Linked DNA regions of Saccharomyces cerevisiae S288C. The protein of the gene in region 1 interacts with the protein of each later gene in a biochemical or structural test. Each region holds a gene or a part of one and is shown on either strand. Other genes may lie near its edges.

The links.
Region 2: the proteins of CDC53 (region 1) and HRT1 form a complex in vitro, tested with the Saccharomyces cerevisiae proteins (5 studies listed by BioGRID, with this or other methods).
Region 3: the proteins of CDC53 (region 1) and SKP1 form a complex in vitro, tested with the Saccharomyces cerevisiae proteins (4 studies listed by BioGRID).

Annotation. Positions count from the first base shown.
Region 1 is NC_001136.10:221,021-228,522, reverse strand, and holds CDC53 (cullin CDC53), read right to left. Parts: upstream 4,220-7,502; coding exon 1,772-4,219; downstream 1-1,771. Other genes in the region: homocitrate synthase LYS21, read right to left, coding at 1-1,130; SRF1 (phospholipase D regulator), read right to left, coding at 4,783-6,096; 60S ribosomal protein eL41 RPL41B, read left to right, coding at 6,722-6,799. UniProt on the Saccharomyces cerevisiae protein: Core component of multiple cullin-RING-based SCF (SKP1-CUL1-F-box) E3 ubiquitin-protein ligase complexes which mediate the ubiquitination and subsequent proteasomal degradation of target proteins.
Region 2 is NC_001147.6:67,288-71,190, reverse strand, and holds HRT1 (SCF ubiquitin ligase complex subunit HRT1), read right to left. Parts: upstream 867-3,903; coding exon 501-866; downstream 1-500. Other genes in the region: mediator complex subunit MED7, read left to right, coding at 1,147-1,815; PFK27 (6-phosphofructo-2-kinase), read left to right, coding at 2,437-3,630. UniProt on the Saccharomyces cerevisiae protein: Core component of multiple cullin-RING-based E3 ubiquitin-protein ligase complexes (CRLs), which mediate the ubiquitination of target proteins.
Region 3 is NC_001136.10:1,124,934-1,129,221, forward strand, and holds SKP1 (SCF ubiquitin ligase subunit SKP1), read right to left. Parts: upstream 1,086-4,288; coding exon 501-1,085; downstream 1-500. Other genes in the region: PEX3 (Pex3p), read right to left, coding at 1,337-2,662; DNA protein crosslink repair co-factor UBX5, read left to right, coding at 2,939-4,288.

The DNA.
Region 1 (7,502 bases):
TTGATTTGATCATCCGTCAAATTCAAGTTCAATTGGTCGACTCTTGATTTGATTGCATTCCAACCAGTTAGTCTGTTGGCGAAGTGGATATATCTCTTCATACCGAAATCGTGAGGGTCCAAGATTTCGTAGGTAGATGGGTTAGCCAAAATGGCCTTGGCATGGATACCTGCTTTATGTGTGAATGCACAGAACCCGGTGATAGGGTTGTTGAATGGAATGTTAACTTCCACAGCATCAGCGACCAGGTTTTCGATGTCTCTGATCTTGTGCAGCTTGTATTTAGATCTGACATAGTCTGGTGCGGCAACAATCATTCTTGCCATGAGCCCACCTAGAGGAGTGATACCGTTTCTTTCACCAATACCCAGTACACTGACGTCAATCAATCTGGCACCACCTTCCAAAGCAGTGTAGGCGTTTGCAATGGCACAACCGGTATCATTGTGGAAATGGCATTCGATGTCACATGAGACAACACTCTTCAAAGTTCTGATCAGTTCATATACTTGTCTTGGGTTGGCACATCCAACTGTGTCGGCAATACCGACTCTATTTACACCGATCTTGTCAACGGTTTTATAAATGTTCAAAAGATCAACGAGATCACTTCTGAAGGAATCTTCAGAGGAAAATCTGATTTCAATACCTTTGGATTTGACAAATTCAATGACTTCAACAGCACTCTTGGCGATGTAGTTCATATCCTTACCGTGGGAATATTGTCTTAAAAATTTGGAGGTGCCGATAACAACATCGACACCGTCGACACCAGTCTCTACGGCGACTCTGGCATCGTCCATGTGACAACGAATGTGTGTAAGGATCTTGGCCTTTAAACCTAGTTTACATATAGCTTCACAGTCCTTTCTTGATTGTTCGGATGCTACGGGAGAGGTTAACTCGATGTAGTCCACACCGAAATCATCCAAGGCTCTAGCAATTTCAATCTTTTTTTCAGTATCGAAGAATGCGTTGGCAAATTGTTCACCCTCTCTTAGTGTTGAATCAATCAACTGGAAATTCTTAACATTGGATAGATAATCCGCAGGATTTGGGCCATATGGGTTACTAGTGGTTGGAGCAGTCGTCGATTCGGTGACACTCTGGAATTCGTTATTTTCAGACATGGTTTGTTAAAGTATACAATTACTTGGGTTGTCGTTGCACTTTTAAATGTGTAGCAAATAAAGGCCTAAACGCAACAAGAAGAAAGATAAATTTTGAAATCTGTTGCATATATATATTAGTATATAAGAGACTGCATGAAAATGCGAACAAACGCATGCTCAACACCACTCATGCGCAATATCGTAGAATCACACACAACGAGAACGATCAGCTTGGCATCTTTGCAAAGTGACTAATTTTCGCTGTTCCACCACTATCGCACATTGCGCGACGTGATTTCTACGCGGATTTCTTGGAGCTGGTAGCTGCTGGTGACGATTTCCAGCGGAATTTCAACTCTGCCACTGACTGATCCTTGTTGTCAGTCTCATCATTTCAGCCTGATCTCTTCTCAAGCAGGCCGAAAAGCCGCCCGGTAAAGGATGTTACAACGGAAAGAGAAGTGCCATATCTTCATACTATGAGATTCTCAAGAGGTCAAAGACTCTTCATAGTTCAGTTGAATACACACAATTACACACACACACATATATATATATACATATATATATATATATATATATATATATATATATGTATACGCTTATGTATTTACTCGTAGGATTTGCTTCGTTCGATCAGCACAAGCCTTCAAAGATGATTAAGCAAGGTAAGCATACGATTCACCATCGTCTCCCCTCTGTAGGTATCCCTTTTGTATTAAGCTATCGATGGCTCTCTTGACCATAGAAACCTTTGCATTGAACCTTTGGTGTGATTGCGCAATGCATTCGTTGACCAATGTTGTATGTGGCAGATTTCTTTTCGCTTTCATTATTCTCACAATACAAGCTTCCAAGAAAATCTGCCTTTCTGTATTCAATTCTTTTTCTATTCTTTCGTCTTCCGTCAAGCGTTTGTTTCCTAACTTATTACCGTGATTATCGTGGCCTCCACCGGATAGCGATTGCAGAATGTCGTTTTTGACTCCGCTAGCGAAATTAATATTGGTCTTAAGCGCCTTATAAGGACGTGATAGCTTGAATTGTGTTTCAGGTTTCACGAGAGCATCTAGCCCTGGTGGGACCTGTTGAATCAGTTTGAATTTGATGAATGGTACCATTGCCGCTGCGATGTGCTGAATGGTTAAGCTCGTGCCCTCTTGAATATTTTCTAAGGTTAATACATCAGCATCGTTATATAGTAGCAAAATTGCCATTTGAAACAGTGTTACCGTAAAGTTGAACGGCATCCTGCCGGGTTTTCCAATATCTGCCTTCAATTCGCCACGACATAATGGCCATAGCCACTTCAATATTCTACCATTATGCTTTTGGCTGTATGACTCCTTCAATTTTTCGTGAGATGGTACCAATTCCTTGGGTAGCTTAAATTCAACTTCTTGGTATGAAAATGGCCACATATTTTCTGCCAATACAAATGGTTGTAGATCTGGATATTTTGCTTTAGAGTAATCTGGTTCATTCTTCAGGGCGACAGCAAAATCGTCTTCCAAGATCTTGGAAAGTCTAATATCTTGAAACATTTTAGTTATCTTGCCTGTATATTCCATACTATTTGCCGCTTGCAGCCTTTGAATAATATTTTCTTCGTCTTCTGCTGATGTTGAAGTGCCATGAATTAAACGCTTGGCGAAAAGTCTTCTATAATGAGTTTCGAACGCATCTTTGTCGGTCAAATATTTGAATATTGTTATAATATCTTCATCTGACATGTCACTTGCCACTTCAGGTTTGGTGGCCTTCTTTAATAGTATATCACTGTACTTAGCTAGCATCTCGGAAGTCTTCGAGGTGGCACTTTTTGGAGATCCAGCAGGTAATGCGAACTCGTTGATGTTGATGAAAGCACCACACGCATTATCTAGAGCTTTAGCTAAAGGTATGTCGTCGGGGAAACTTTCATTAAAAATCTTAGAGAATATATCGTGTACTTCCAGTAATTTCTTGATATAGTCTTTAGGAGAAAGGGAGTGAGCTGTCATTAGTGCTAGTTTTTTAGGGTTTGCGTTTTCGTTTTTCATAATATTGTGTTTATGCATTGCCAGTAGACTCGAAATTTCATTCTCACCTGTCTTTTTAACATAATTTTCAAACACTGAAGCCATTCTTGGGATTAATGTAAAGTCTCTGCGTATTAGTGCGTACAAAGAAGTAATTTTTTCAATATCTCTGGCATCCAGAAGGACAACAAACTCATTTTCCAACTTTTCAATATGGTCTGTGATCAAGACCTTGTTTAATGCCATGGATAGTGGTTTTTTTGTATGATCATCCCAATATATTGTCATTGCTTTTTCCTCACGTTTGATGATTTCATGTGCTTCAAAAATATACTCAGTTACCGAGTGTTTCTCTAAATAATCGTTTGTATATTGCGTGTAGTACTCCTGAGTCTTCTTTAAAAATGGCTTTTCGAAAACTTGGATGTAGACATTTAGGTTCAACTTTTTCAAATCCTGTGGATCGATACCTAGTGCAACTAAAGACTTTATGGCAGTGCTAATATTACTTCTTTGAATTATTTGCCCCTCCCTTCCCAAGGTTACCTGGTCTAATAATTCGTTTATTAAAACATCTTTACTCGGATCAAACATGACTTCTTTCCATGTCATCAAGCACAAGGTGTTTACATCAAAAATATGCCTTTTGCCGTCACTTCTTTCCTTTTGAACCCAATATCTATTCATATAATCGAATGCATGGTTTAAAAAAATGGCACCTATTGTAAACCTTTTCCAGCGCTTGACGTAAAACTGCAAAAAGGTCTCTGAATTAGACTGCTTAAAATTTAAAATGTAATTCTTCAAATAATTCTTTAACTTTTCGTAAATCTCACTGCCAACCAAAATTGTTGATTGGCCAGTTCTACTGTCAGTACTAAAATGTCCAGACGAGCGTGATTTGTTCACACAGTAGTTATAAATTGCGGTATAGACTTCCATATACATGGTTGGAGAAAGAATTTTGTAAACTCGCTTAGACGTGGATGCTTGGTTTTTCTCATTACCCAGTATTTGGTTAATTCCTGGCTCTATAAAGTTCCAAGTGGCCTCTAAATCATCAGATCTAGGCAGAGTCTCAGACATGCTTTGCTGCTTGCGATTTTGTTGTTATTCTTTGTTTAGGTATATGTAAGAATCCTTTCAAGACTCAAAAATGTACGCTTATTTATCGGTAAGTAGAAGCAATGTCGAATTGCTAAAAGAAATGTGTAACTGAGGTAAAATGTAATCAACAATGAAAGGGGTGCACAGAAGTTAGAAGATGCGGATGAAAAGCTCTAAAAGAGAAAAAGGACAATATAAAAGAGCAGTGATATGAATCAATTGCGTTGTAAAGTGAAGTTCTGCTGGGGTACTTTACCTAATGCCCTAGTTTTTCTAGATGTTCTATTTGCCACATTTCACTTCATGTGTGTCCATCAAACATCGAAATGAAAAAGGGCCCTTAAAACGGAAAGGAAAAGAAAGTGCAATAGCCCTCCCTTCGGGTAATACATATTATATCGCACAAAGCCTAATATAATCAAACCCGCCGTTAATGAATAAATGCCAAGCCGGAGTAATTTTTTAAGTCAAAAATATACAATGCATATAAATGTCAATCTTGGTATCTAAAAGAATTCTTTTAATTTCTATATTTGTCGAGCTCAGTTTCTGTTGGTAATTGAACTGACTTTTTCGACTACTCTAACAATACTGATCGAGAAAGTGATTACCCACATAAACAAGGCAACGAACAGAAAAGCGGATAAAGCTTCCTGTTTTCTGCAGATACGCGGTATTTTTGGGTATCCATACGTGCTTCCATTTGACCTGCGAATAGAAGTGCAAACCCACTCTTTGTCGAAACGAGTATTAAATGCCAGCGCTAGATTAGCGCTTGAAAAAATTATAAAAAGTAAGTCCAACAAAATTAGTTTCAGTTTGCTTAACGGATTCCTCAAACCAACAGGTTTACCAGCAAATTCATCGTGTGCAATGTAAATAATATACGCAATCGCCACGGCGTTGACGCAGATGGCCATTATGGTGCTTGGTTGTTGCCCGATTTTACTTTCACTGATGGTGTTATTTGATCTTGAGTTTTGAAAAATCTTGATTGCCAGAGCAAGTGAAATGCACGATAATATACCAGTGAAAATCCTCAAACCCAAAATCAAATATTGATTATCAAGTAATAGCGACGTCAAAGGAGGTCTCCACTGTTGTAACTTCCTTTGCTTTAACCTCCGCCACTTTTCTCTCTCTTTATTGAGCTCATTTACCCAATCTGACTTGTAAACTTTGTTGTGTACTGATTCGGGTGATTCTGGGTTCTTCTTATTATCACCGTAATAGAAATCTTTTACCTTTTCGATATATTGTAACCACTCTTTTCTCTCTTCTGTCGTGTTGAACTCTAAATTGGCACCTATTTCTGAATGTAGAACACCTTCTAGTCGTTCTTCACCTCCCCACTCGCTGCACATGTCACCTAAAATTTCTCTAAGAGCCGCATTTTTTGATGAGGTAGATGATGATAGAGAGTAACCATCGTAGGATTTGTGACTAGGATTGTAGTTTTGGTCTCTAGTGTATGCAGAATGACAGCCGATGGTAGATGCAAACTGGCCCCATTTAAACTCTTTTGGAAGATTTTTATCATCGGTAACATTTCCATCAACGGTGCCCTTATCCTGAAGTCTTAATTTATCAAACTGCGCCTCTAAAACATAAGGCGGCACTGTGGTAGGCACAAACGTGTAAGTATTTAATTTTGGATAGTCTAGTGGTGAACCATCACTGTGTTTGGGAACATGTATCTTTGCATTCTGTAATGCTTCCAGTGAACCTGACTTCCTTACTGTTTGATTTTTTTCAAGATCCACGTTTAAATTAAGTTGATTTTGATCTGCGATTCTAGAAGCGTTCGTGGATGTTGTATCAGAATACGCTTCTTGGCTGGAATTAGAATCCCCCATTAAATTTGTCAGTGTAAAAAAAAAGAACGCCTCAAAAAATGCAAAAAAATATCATTCACTTTCCCTTCTCAGCAATCTCACGGTTTCGAAATAGCAATCAAAGTATTTTTATAATTGACTAAACAAAAGGTGGTTGGAGACTTTGTGTTGTAGCTTAGAATTTCTTCCACTATATGAAAGCCAAGACCTCTTCTCCTCTTTCGACACTTCGTTTATTTCCACTTTCCCTTATTTAGTATTCATCGTTCAGAATGCTTTCTTTATTTCACGACGGTTACCACACCCGTACACCCTTATCTCATTTCACCAGTACCTTTCCTTATTAGATTCATCTTATTTTATTTTAGGATTTTTAGGTCATTGTACGACGCGTGTCGCACCATGGAAAAGGTGTCGCAGCTGCGATGCTATCCATTTACCCGTCATCATTGCTGGCAGAAATCCCATCTTCCTCTGCTGGGGTGATTTATATATATGGAGAGTTAACGAATGTAATATTTCTGAATGTTAAATAATTGTTATCCGTCATTATTGTTTCACTTCTCTCTTTGAAATTTCGCTTGTTTTCTGTTTTCATCTTATATTTTACTTCAATCCTAAGATAGTCATATCGACTTAATTCCAAATGAGAGCTAAGTGGAGAAAGAAGAGAACTAGAAGACTTAAGAGAAAGAGACGGAAGGTGAGAGCCAGATCCAAATAAGCGGATTGAGAGCAAATCGTTAAGTTCAGGTCAAGTAAAAATTGATTTCGAAAACTAATTTCTCTTATACAATCCTTTGATTGGACCGTCATCCTTTCGAATATAAGATTTTGTTAAGAATATTTTAGACAGAGATCTACTTTATATTTAATATCTAGATATTACATAATTTCCTCTCTAATAAAATATCATTAATAAAATAAAAATGAAGCGATTTGATTTTGTGTTGTCAACTTAGTTTGCCGCTATGCCTCTTGGGTAATGCTATTATTGAATCGAAGGGCTTTATTATATTACCCTTTAGCTTATTCTGAGGTTTCTGTGGCGTGCAAAGTGATGAACCGGGCGGGTTTTAAGGATAAAATCAAAAAGTGAAAAAATGAACGGAAAATGGAATACCTGTGAAATGGAGAATGATAATGAATCTTTCTGTCGTGCTTGAAAGATTTTCGGCTATTTTAATCGACTAACACATAGTAGTAGAAATAGTTTTCCGGATTACATTAGTTCGGCATTCTTTTTAGCAGGTTTTTGTTACAGGTTCCTTTCGACGCACCGTTTCACAGTAAAGGAGGTAATTAGTGAATCAGACGCTGCACTTTCATTGATTTTGATATACACATACTCCAATTAGTTTTAGTGTAAATTAAATTGCCCCAGTGGACACGATATTTACAAAAAGTGTTTTATTCTTCTTAGAAAT
Region 2 (3,903 bases), on another chromosome or scaffold:
CCGCTACCTCAGTCTCACCTTACAATACGGAAAAAAAAGACTATTGGCAATTTCTTTACCCAACATAATTACCACTAAATTATTATAAGTGAACTTTTGGCCTAGTGTTTGTGTATATATATTTGTCCTTTGGAAGGGCAGTGATCGTCTTTAAATGTTTTAAACAAAAGAAGTATGTAAAAGCAGCCTGATAATAAATGTGCTCTTAAAGAGTCAAAATACTACTAATTTTTTAGCGGCTATATAGAGGTAGATTATGAACAAGGCTAGGATGATTTTGTTCTGTCACCTTTGTGGATGTCTTATTCCTACCCCGAGTTACTAACGAGATAAACAAAAAGGGTGCATACAACTCGATTATGCTATGTATATAACAAAATTCGACGTGGAAGAGAAAAACATGTATCTACTGCGCCAGTTGACATACTCTAAAAAAAAAGGAACATGCCATAATCCTTCTACCTCGGTATGATTTAAATGTTTACGGGCAATTCATTTTTTCACCTACCGCATCTTGCTAACTGCCAAGGTTGGTTATCTAATGGGCATGCGTCTCTTGTCTTGATCCATTTATTAATACAGTGCAAATGGAAAGCGTGATTACAGACACCCCAGGCTGCTACACATTCATTATCAGTGTCCGTCATGGCCTTTGGCTGGCATTCAATGCATGGTTCCATTATATGGTTCCTGCAAATAGCACAGTTGTCAACAGCTATATCCCATGACCAAAACGCCACTGCGGTCCATTTCTTAATTTCAAATCTCTTCTTTTTGGTTTCCACTGGCGCACTTTGGTTTGAGCTTTGCGCAATATTTTGCGATTCATCTTCATCAACATCCATCCTGTCAACTTCGTTGCTCATGTTGAACTATTTCTCTTTAAAGTTCTCTGCCACTGGAGAAAGACATTTAGTAGCAACCAACATTGCACATATTGAAGCCCATACGTCTATTGTGGGTTTCATGATCTCCCTCTTCACACCTTTAAAAGAAACTATTATCACGAAATACGAAATGTTAGTTAGAACTTAAACAACGAATCTTGCATTTTCAGCAGGCAGGTCATTAGACGTGCAAATATGACATAAAAGAGGTTTCATATCCCAAATTTAAGCTAGTAAAAAAAAAATTCACAAACTAAAAATGTCCAATGATCCTGGTAATGAGGTTAGCTCCTTGTACCCACCTCCACCCCCATACGTGAAGTTTTTCACACAGTCCAATCTGGAAAAATTACCAAAATACAAAGAAAAGAAGGCCGCAAGTGCGAAGCAGACGGCTCCAAATAACAGTAACGGCGGCAGTGAAGAGGAGATTACATGTGCGCTAGATTACCTAATCCCACCCCCCATGCCCAAAAATCAGCAGTACCGAGCGTTTGGGAGTATATGGCAGGTGAAGGACCAACTGCCCGATTTAGAGAGCATGGGACTCACCCAACTTTATAAGAAATCCACAGAAAACGAAAGCACAAATTATCAATACAAAATCCAAGAGCTACGCAAACTATTGAAATCCCTCCTGCTAAATTACTTGGAACTCATCGGCGTATTGAGCATAAATCCGGATATGTATGAGCGCAAAGTGGAGAACATAAGGACCATTCTTGTCAATATTCACCACCTACTTAATGAGTACAGACCCCATCAGTCCCGAGAGTCCCTTATTATGCTATTGGAAGAACAATTAGAATACAAGCGCGGGGAAATTCGCGAGATCGAGCAAGTATGCAAACAGGTACACGACAAACTCACCAGCATACAGGACACCTTAAGAACCGGATCACAATCTCCTCCATCGTCGTCCCAATGACCACACTATTATAAATCATTTGTGTAACTATATACATTTTCAACTACCGTATAGCGTATAGTAGGCACGTGGTAGTCCACCCGTACACCTCCCTCGGAACGGAAAAATACGAACTATAGCTTATCGGAATATATACCAAAAATTAATTGACGTATTTCCGAGATTCCAGGCACAAGTGCCCCACCTTTTCACAGAAATCGCGCACAGATGAGTCTGCAACGGAAATTGTTTTCCTTTTTTTTCTTTTTCTTCTCTGGGCATCTGAATCGATTGATAATGAAAAAAAAGTAGAAAAAGTAAATTGGATTACTCGGTTTTTCGTGTGGAAGATTGGCTTATATAAAAGAAGACGTGCTCTAAACAAAGGTGTTTTCGCTTATTTTGGTGCCACAGCAAACCAACTTATTTGCTTTTTTAGAGGGTGTTAAAAAGTCTGATACGCTCATATACGAGTAACACTAAACCGGAAATACTAGGAGAGCCCAGTACTTATACTTCTTATTTGGCTTCAAGTTCCACTGCCCTCGAAACAAATTACCTTACGCGATTTTTAATATTTTAGATATAAGGAAAAGGAAGAAAAGGGATAACGAACGCGTTTTTTCCGCTGGAAGTTTGAAAATGGGTGGTTCTTCCGATTCAGACTCTCACGATGGATATTTGACTTCCGAATATAATTCCTCGAATTCTCTTTTTTCACTTAACACCGGTAACAGCTATTCAAGCGCATCTCTCGACAGAGCCACTTTAGATTGTCAAGATTCTGTTTTTTTCGATAATCACAAAAGTTCACTGCTGTCTACAGAGGTCCCAAGGTTTATTTCTAACGACCCGTTACACTTACCCATTACACTGAATTACAAAAGAGACAATGCAGACCCTACGTATACAAATGGAAAAGTTAACAAGTTTATGATTGTTTTGATTGGGCTACCAGCTACTGGGAAGTCTACCATTTCTTCTCATTTAATTCAATGTTTGAAGAACAATCCGCTAACTAATTCATTACGCTGTAAAGTTTTTAATGCTGGTAAGATAAGAAGGCAAATCAGTTGTGCTACCATTTCAAAGCCTTTGCTTTTGTCGAATACATCTTCGGAAGACTTATTTAATCCGAAAAATAACGATAAAAAGGAAACGTATGCCAGGATCACTTTGCAAAAGTTGTTTCACGAAATCAACAACGATGAATGTGACGTGGGAATCTTCGACGCCACAAATTCGACCATCGAAAGAAGAAGATTTATATTTGAGGAGGTTTGTTCGTTCAATACAGATGAGCTTTCTAGTTTCAATTTGGTGCCCATAATCTTACAGGTGTCATGTTTTAACAGAAGCTTTATCAAATACAATATCCACAATAAATCGTTTAATGAAGACTACTTAGACAAACCTTATGAACTTGCCATCAAAGATTTTGCAAAGAGATTAAAACATTACTATTCGCAGTTTACACCTTTCTCCCTTGATGAGTTCAATCAAATCCATCGATATATCAGCCAACATGAAGAAATCGATACGAGCTTATTTTTCTTCAATGTTATTAATGCGGGCGTCGTTGAGCCACATTCTTTAAATCAAAGTCATTACCCTTCAACCTGCGGCAAGCAAATTAGGGACACCATTATGGTTATTGAAAATTTCATCAATCACTATTCTCAGATGTTTGGTTTTGAATACATCGAAGCTGTTAAATTGTTTTTTGAAAGTTTTGGAAATAGCTCAGAGGAAACTTTAACTACACTAGACTCTGTTGTTAATGATAAATTTTTTGATGATTTGCAGAGCCTAATTGAAAGCAACGGATTTGCTTGACTGATACTTTACCATACGGGAGTTGAATATCGGTACTCCTTTATTATATTTATGATCCTCTCCAGAACTCCATCTACCTCCCGCCTTTTAATGACCATTTTTACGACCTTTTCGCATGTTTTTCTATTCTTTTACAGTTTCCTTGGTACCGCTAGTTACATTATGTTATCTTGAAAAGGCTACTATACACTTTTTTTGCACTACTGAAGCAGCTTTCAAAAGCTCTTTATAGACTTCAGATAGTATTACTTTTTCCTTAAAATTCTATCTATT
Region 3 (4,288 bases), 900 kb from region 1:
GATATCTGTACAGCTGCTGCTTCTATATATTTATATGTGATTAGCAATCAATATACCCTATTTTAGATGAATAATTTAAAGCAAAGGGTTAAGCTGGTGTTGAAATGCTCGAAGAAAATAAACTTGACTTAAAATTTAGACCAAATATTTCACAAATATGATTCAAAACGGAGTGTTTACAGCTATCTGTCCTAAATTTATCCCGTCTCATCATGTAAACAATAGCTTTTATAACTCAATAATTTTCCTTTTTTCTTCTTGTCACTTTTGCGGCTTTTAGAAGACGCCTATCGCTACACACGACGATGGACCACACATCTTATTGTAGTTTGAAGTTTATGTAAACTGTATACATATATAATTCATACATGCTTGGTTATGGTGGACTAACGTACACATTGCATGACAGCAAGCCTTGTTTGCTTATTTTTGCCTATCTTGCTCTGAAATGGCGCATTATCATCGGAAGAAAGGATCACAGTCATCAGAGGAAATGTAGGCTAACGGTCTTCAGCCCATTCATTTTCACGCCTAATGGCAGCCTCCTCCTCTGGAGTGAAGTCGTTGACGATATTAAACGTTCTTCTAATTTCCTCGGGAGACCTTCCCCTGATCATTTCAGCAACCACCTTGCAGCCAGCGTCAAGCAAGGGCTTGATGTTGAGGTAGTTTGCCGCCAGAATAATTTCGTATAGCATCTCTTGGTCCACTTTCAGGAATTCTCTGTCCCATGAGTCCACGGGAGCACTCTTTCTGGAATCGTCGTCATCTTCGTCAGGGAAGTTAGAGTCTCTGTGGTGCTCGGCCCATTCGATAACCTTCTGCAAAACGGAAGACCGAACATTGGGCACGGGCATCACAATCTCGTCGTCATCCTCATCGTCGTCGTCACCGTTATTGTTGTCTTTGCTTTTGTGGTTCGTTTCCGAGTCTGAATCTGATTCTGAATCTGAGTTGTTTTGTAGGTTGCTGTCATGCATATCGTTCAGATAGTTTTTCAATAGCAGGGATCTCTCCGCGATTTTCTTGTCTACGGTGAATCGTTCACCCTCACCACTCACTAGGACAACATTAGAAGTCACCATATCTGCGCTACGTTTGTTAGTATTCCTGTATTGTTTATAACGTCTTTTCTGTTATATCTTTGCCAACGTTGGGCTATCACTTTCTCTGCCCTCAATATATCAACCTATTTCTTCCCTTTCTCTTCTTTTCTCCAAGACGCCCGTTAAATCGCTGCAGGGTAATGTCATGTTACCTATTGCACACTTACTGTATTAAAGATTACGCTATATATATATATATTCTGGTGTGAGTGTCAGTACTTATTCAGAGATTAAGGCTTGAAGGAAAACGAGCTGGAGACGCCAAAGTTGCTGTATACGCTGGCGCTCAGATCATCGAGCGGCTGCACAGAATCCAGAGTGGCCAGGTATTCGTTCACGCTGCCGCTATGGGAAGACCCGGCAGTTGTTTGAAGCATTTCTTGGCAACAGTCTTTCATCGACATAGCGAAAACTGCCATTTGATACTGTTGCTGATCTTCTTGGCCAGGTTTTTTCTTGGCTATTGTCTTTATGCCGACCTTGTTCATTATGAAATGGAATGATTCATTTATTAGAGACTCTAACACTATGGATGTTGCTGTGCTTTCGATACATTGGGTCAGTTCATTCACCAATTGATTAAAAACTAGTGTGTTAGAGTGAAAACTTGTTAAAGCATCCGCGTCAAGCGTCTGTGACAGAAGAAACTCCTGTCCACTGGAATCTTTAGGAAGCAAAATAGACGTGAGGTTATTATTATTTTGCTGGAATATTTGGGAATTCGTGTTCCGGAATATGTTCGTGAGACGAGAACTAAATTCTTCTAACGTTAGAGTATCTCTTGGGTGTATGCCGTCAAATTCAATTTCGATTTGATTTGTAATTATTTCATTGTAACTCAACCACCCCTTGTTAAGAATCCACCATGATAGTGATAGGAAAGCTTGCTCATTAATATACACTTCCTGGCCTTCTTTCTTTGACTTTTTTGCTGCCATTACCATTGCATCATCCGCTTTGTCCTCCGGATCGCTCCACCACGATGTAACCCAGTTATAGAACCTATTCTGTAGTTTGTTGCAGTTTTCCTGCTGCATGGTTAATTTTATTGCGGAGTCCAGGTACTCGTTTCTTGTCAGGATATTTAGTTGCAGTCTTGTTAAAAGAATCAGCGACGATACTGTGTACGTCACTGTCACCAGCTTGATCAAACTCTTTAGTTCTAACTCGTTCCACAACTCAGCTTTACTTTTTAACGGCGAACTTTCTCTGCTTTCACTAGACTTTGCTCTAGTCAACTGGTTCTTTTGGTCCTTTAATTGGGTAACGATGCTGTCCAAATTCAAATCGTTTTCATTCAAAACCATTCTCCATACAGGAAGTAGCTCGTATATTGTGTACAACGAGTCTTCCTGTGTCTGCTCGAACCTTCTTTTGATCTGTTCTTTGATGAAGTGTTGCTCAGTAATCCGTAACTGCTGTTTATACAACCATCTCTTCACGAAAAACACTACCACCGACCCTGTGGTAAATAAAGCAGCTATTCCAGTCAATGAAATGAGTACCTTTCCTCGATGTCTCTGCAGAAGCGAACGTGATCTTTGATTTGGGGCCATCCTTTTAGTGGTTTGCCTCCTTGTTTCGTGCTTCTGCTTTTACGATGACTAGTATTAACTACCTCAATAATATACCCCATGCTCATATAAGTCGAATAACGCCCTTATCATTACACACGATTACCAAAATGCAAGGAATTTTTAAGGAAAAAGGGAAATATTCATACATTCACGCAAACTCTACTACTTGTTAACGACATCTTAGCTATGATCGCTCAATAGTGTCACTACAAACGCATAGACTACGACGTGTGGCAATAATAACATACCTTTTATATGTCAGAGGGAAAAGTAGACGAATTTATGGCCATCACTGGCGCTGATGACGCTGCTATTGCCACTCAATTCATCGAAATGGCAGACGGGAACTTGAACACAGCCATATCATTGTTTTTCGAAAATGGTGGGGCTGCTTTACTGAGCAGTAACAACACACCTACTCCGTCTAATTCGACTCCTATGGCGCCCACCTCTGTAGATTCAGATGCCGATGCACAATTAGCGGAGAGGTTGCAAAGGGAAGCTTACCAACAACAACAGCCTGACCAAGATTATGTCAGGCCACCTGATGAGGCAAGACATGAAGTACTTACTGAAACTTCAGGATTCCCAATTTCTTACGGCGGCATTGGCGGAAGATTTGAACCATTGCATAGGGTGAACGACATGTTTGACGAAGGAAGACCTGAAAGCATTTTTAATCAACGATTGGATGACACAAATACTAATACATACATCAATGACAACTCTTCAGATTCCTTGGACTCCGAGGAAGAAAATGACGACGACGAATATGAGTATGTGGAAGAGCCGGTCATCGAACTTGATGAAGACGGCAATATCAAGGAGTACACCAAATTAGTGAGAAAGCCTAAAACCATTTCCAAGGAGCAGAAATTAGCTTTGTTATTTAGGCCTCCATTTTCAATCATGTCCAAACTCGACTTAGACGCTGCAAAGCAAAAGGCAAGGGCAAAGCAAAAATGGATAATGATTAACATTCAGGATTCAGGAATCTTCCAATGCCAAGCCCTCAACAGGGATTTGTGGTCGTCCAGACCGGTAAAAACTATAATCAAAGAGAACTTCGTTTTCCTACAGTATCAATATGAATCACGTAATGCCCAACCCTATCTTCAGTTCTATCACTTGAATAATAAGGATGATTTGCCCCATATCGCGATACTGGATCCAATTACCGGTGAACGTGTCAAGCAATGGAATAGGGTTGTTCCCATTCCAGAGCAATTCATCTCAGAAATCAACGAGTTTTTGGCCTCATTTTCGCTAGATCCAAAGGTCCCTAATCCCACGGTTAATGAACCTCTTCCTAAAGTGGATCCAACAACTTTGACCGAAGAGCAACAAATGGAATTAGCCATTAAAGAGTCATTAAATAATAACTCGAGCAAATCAAACCAAGAAGAAGTGCCGAGTACTGGCGAAGAACAGAAACGAGTACAAGAACCGGATCCATTCAGTACCATTGAAGCCAGGGTGCATCCAGAACCGCCAAATAAACCAGGGATCACTACAAGAATTCAAATTCGTACCGGTGATGGCTCCAGACTAGTTCGTAGATTCAATGCTCTGGAAGACACTGTGCGTACTATTTACGAGGTTATC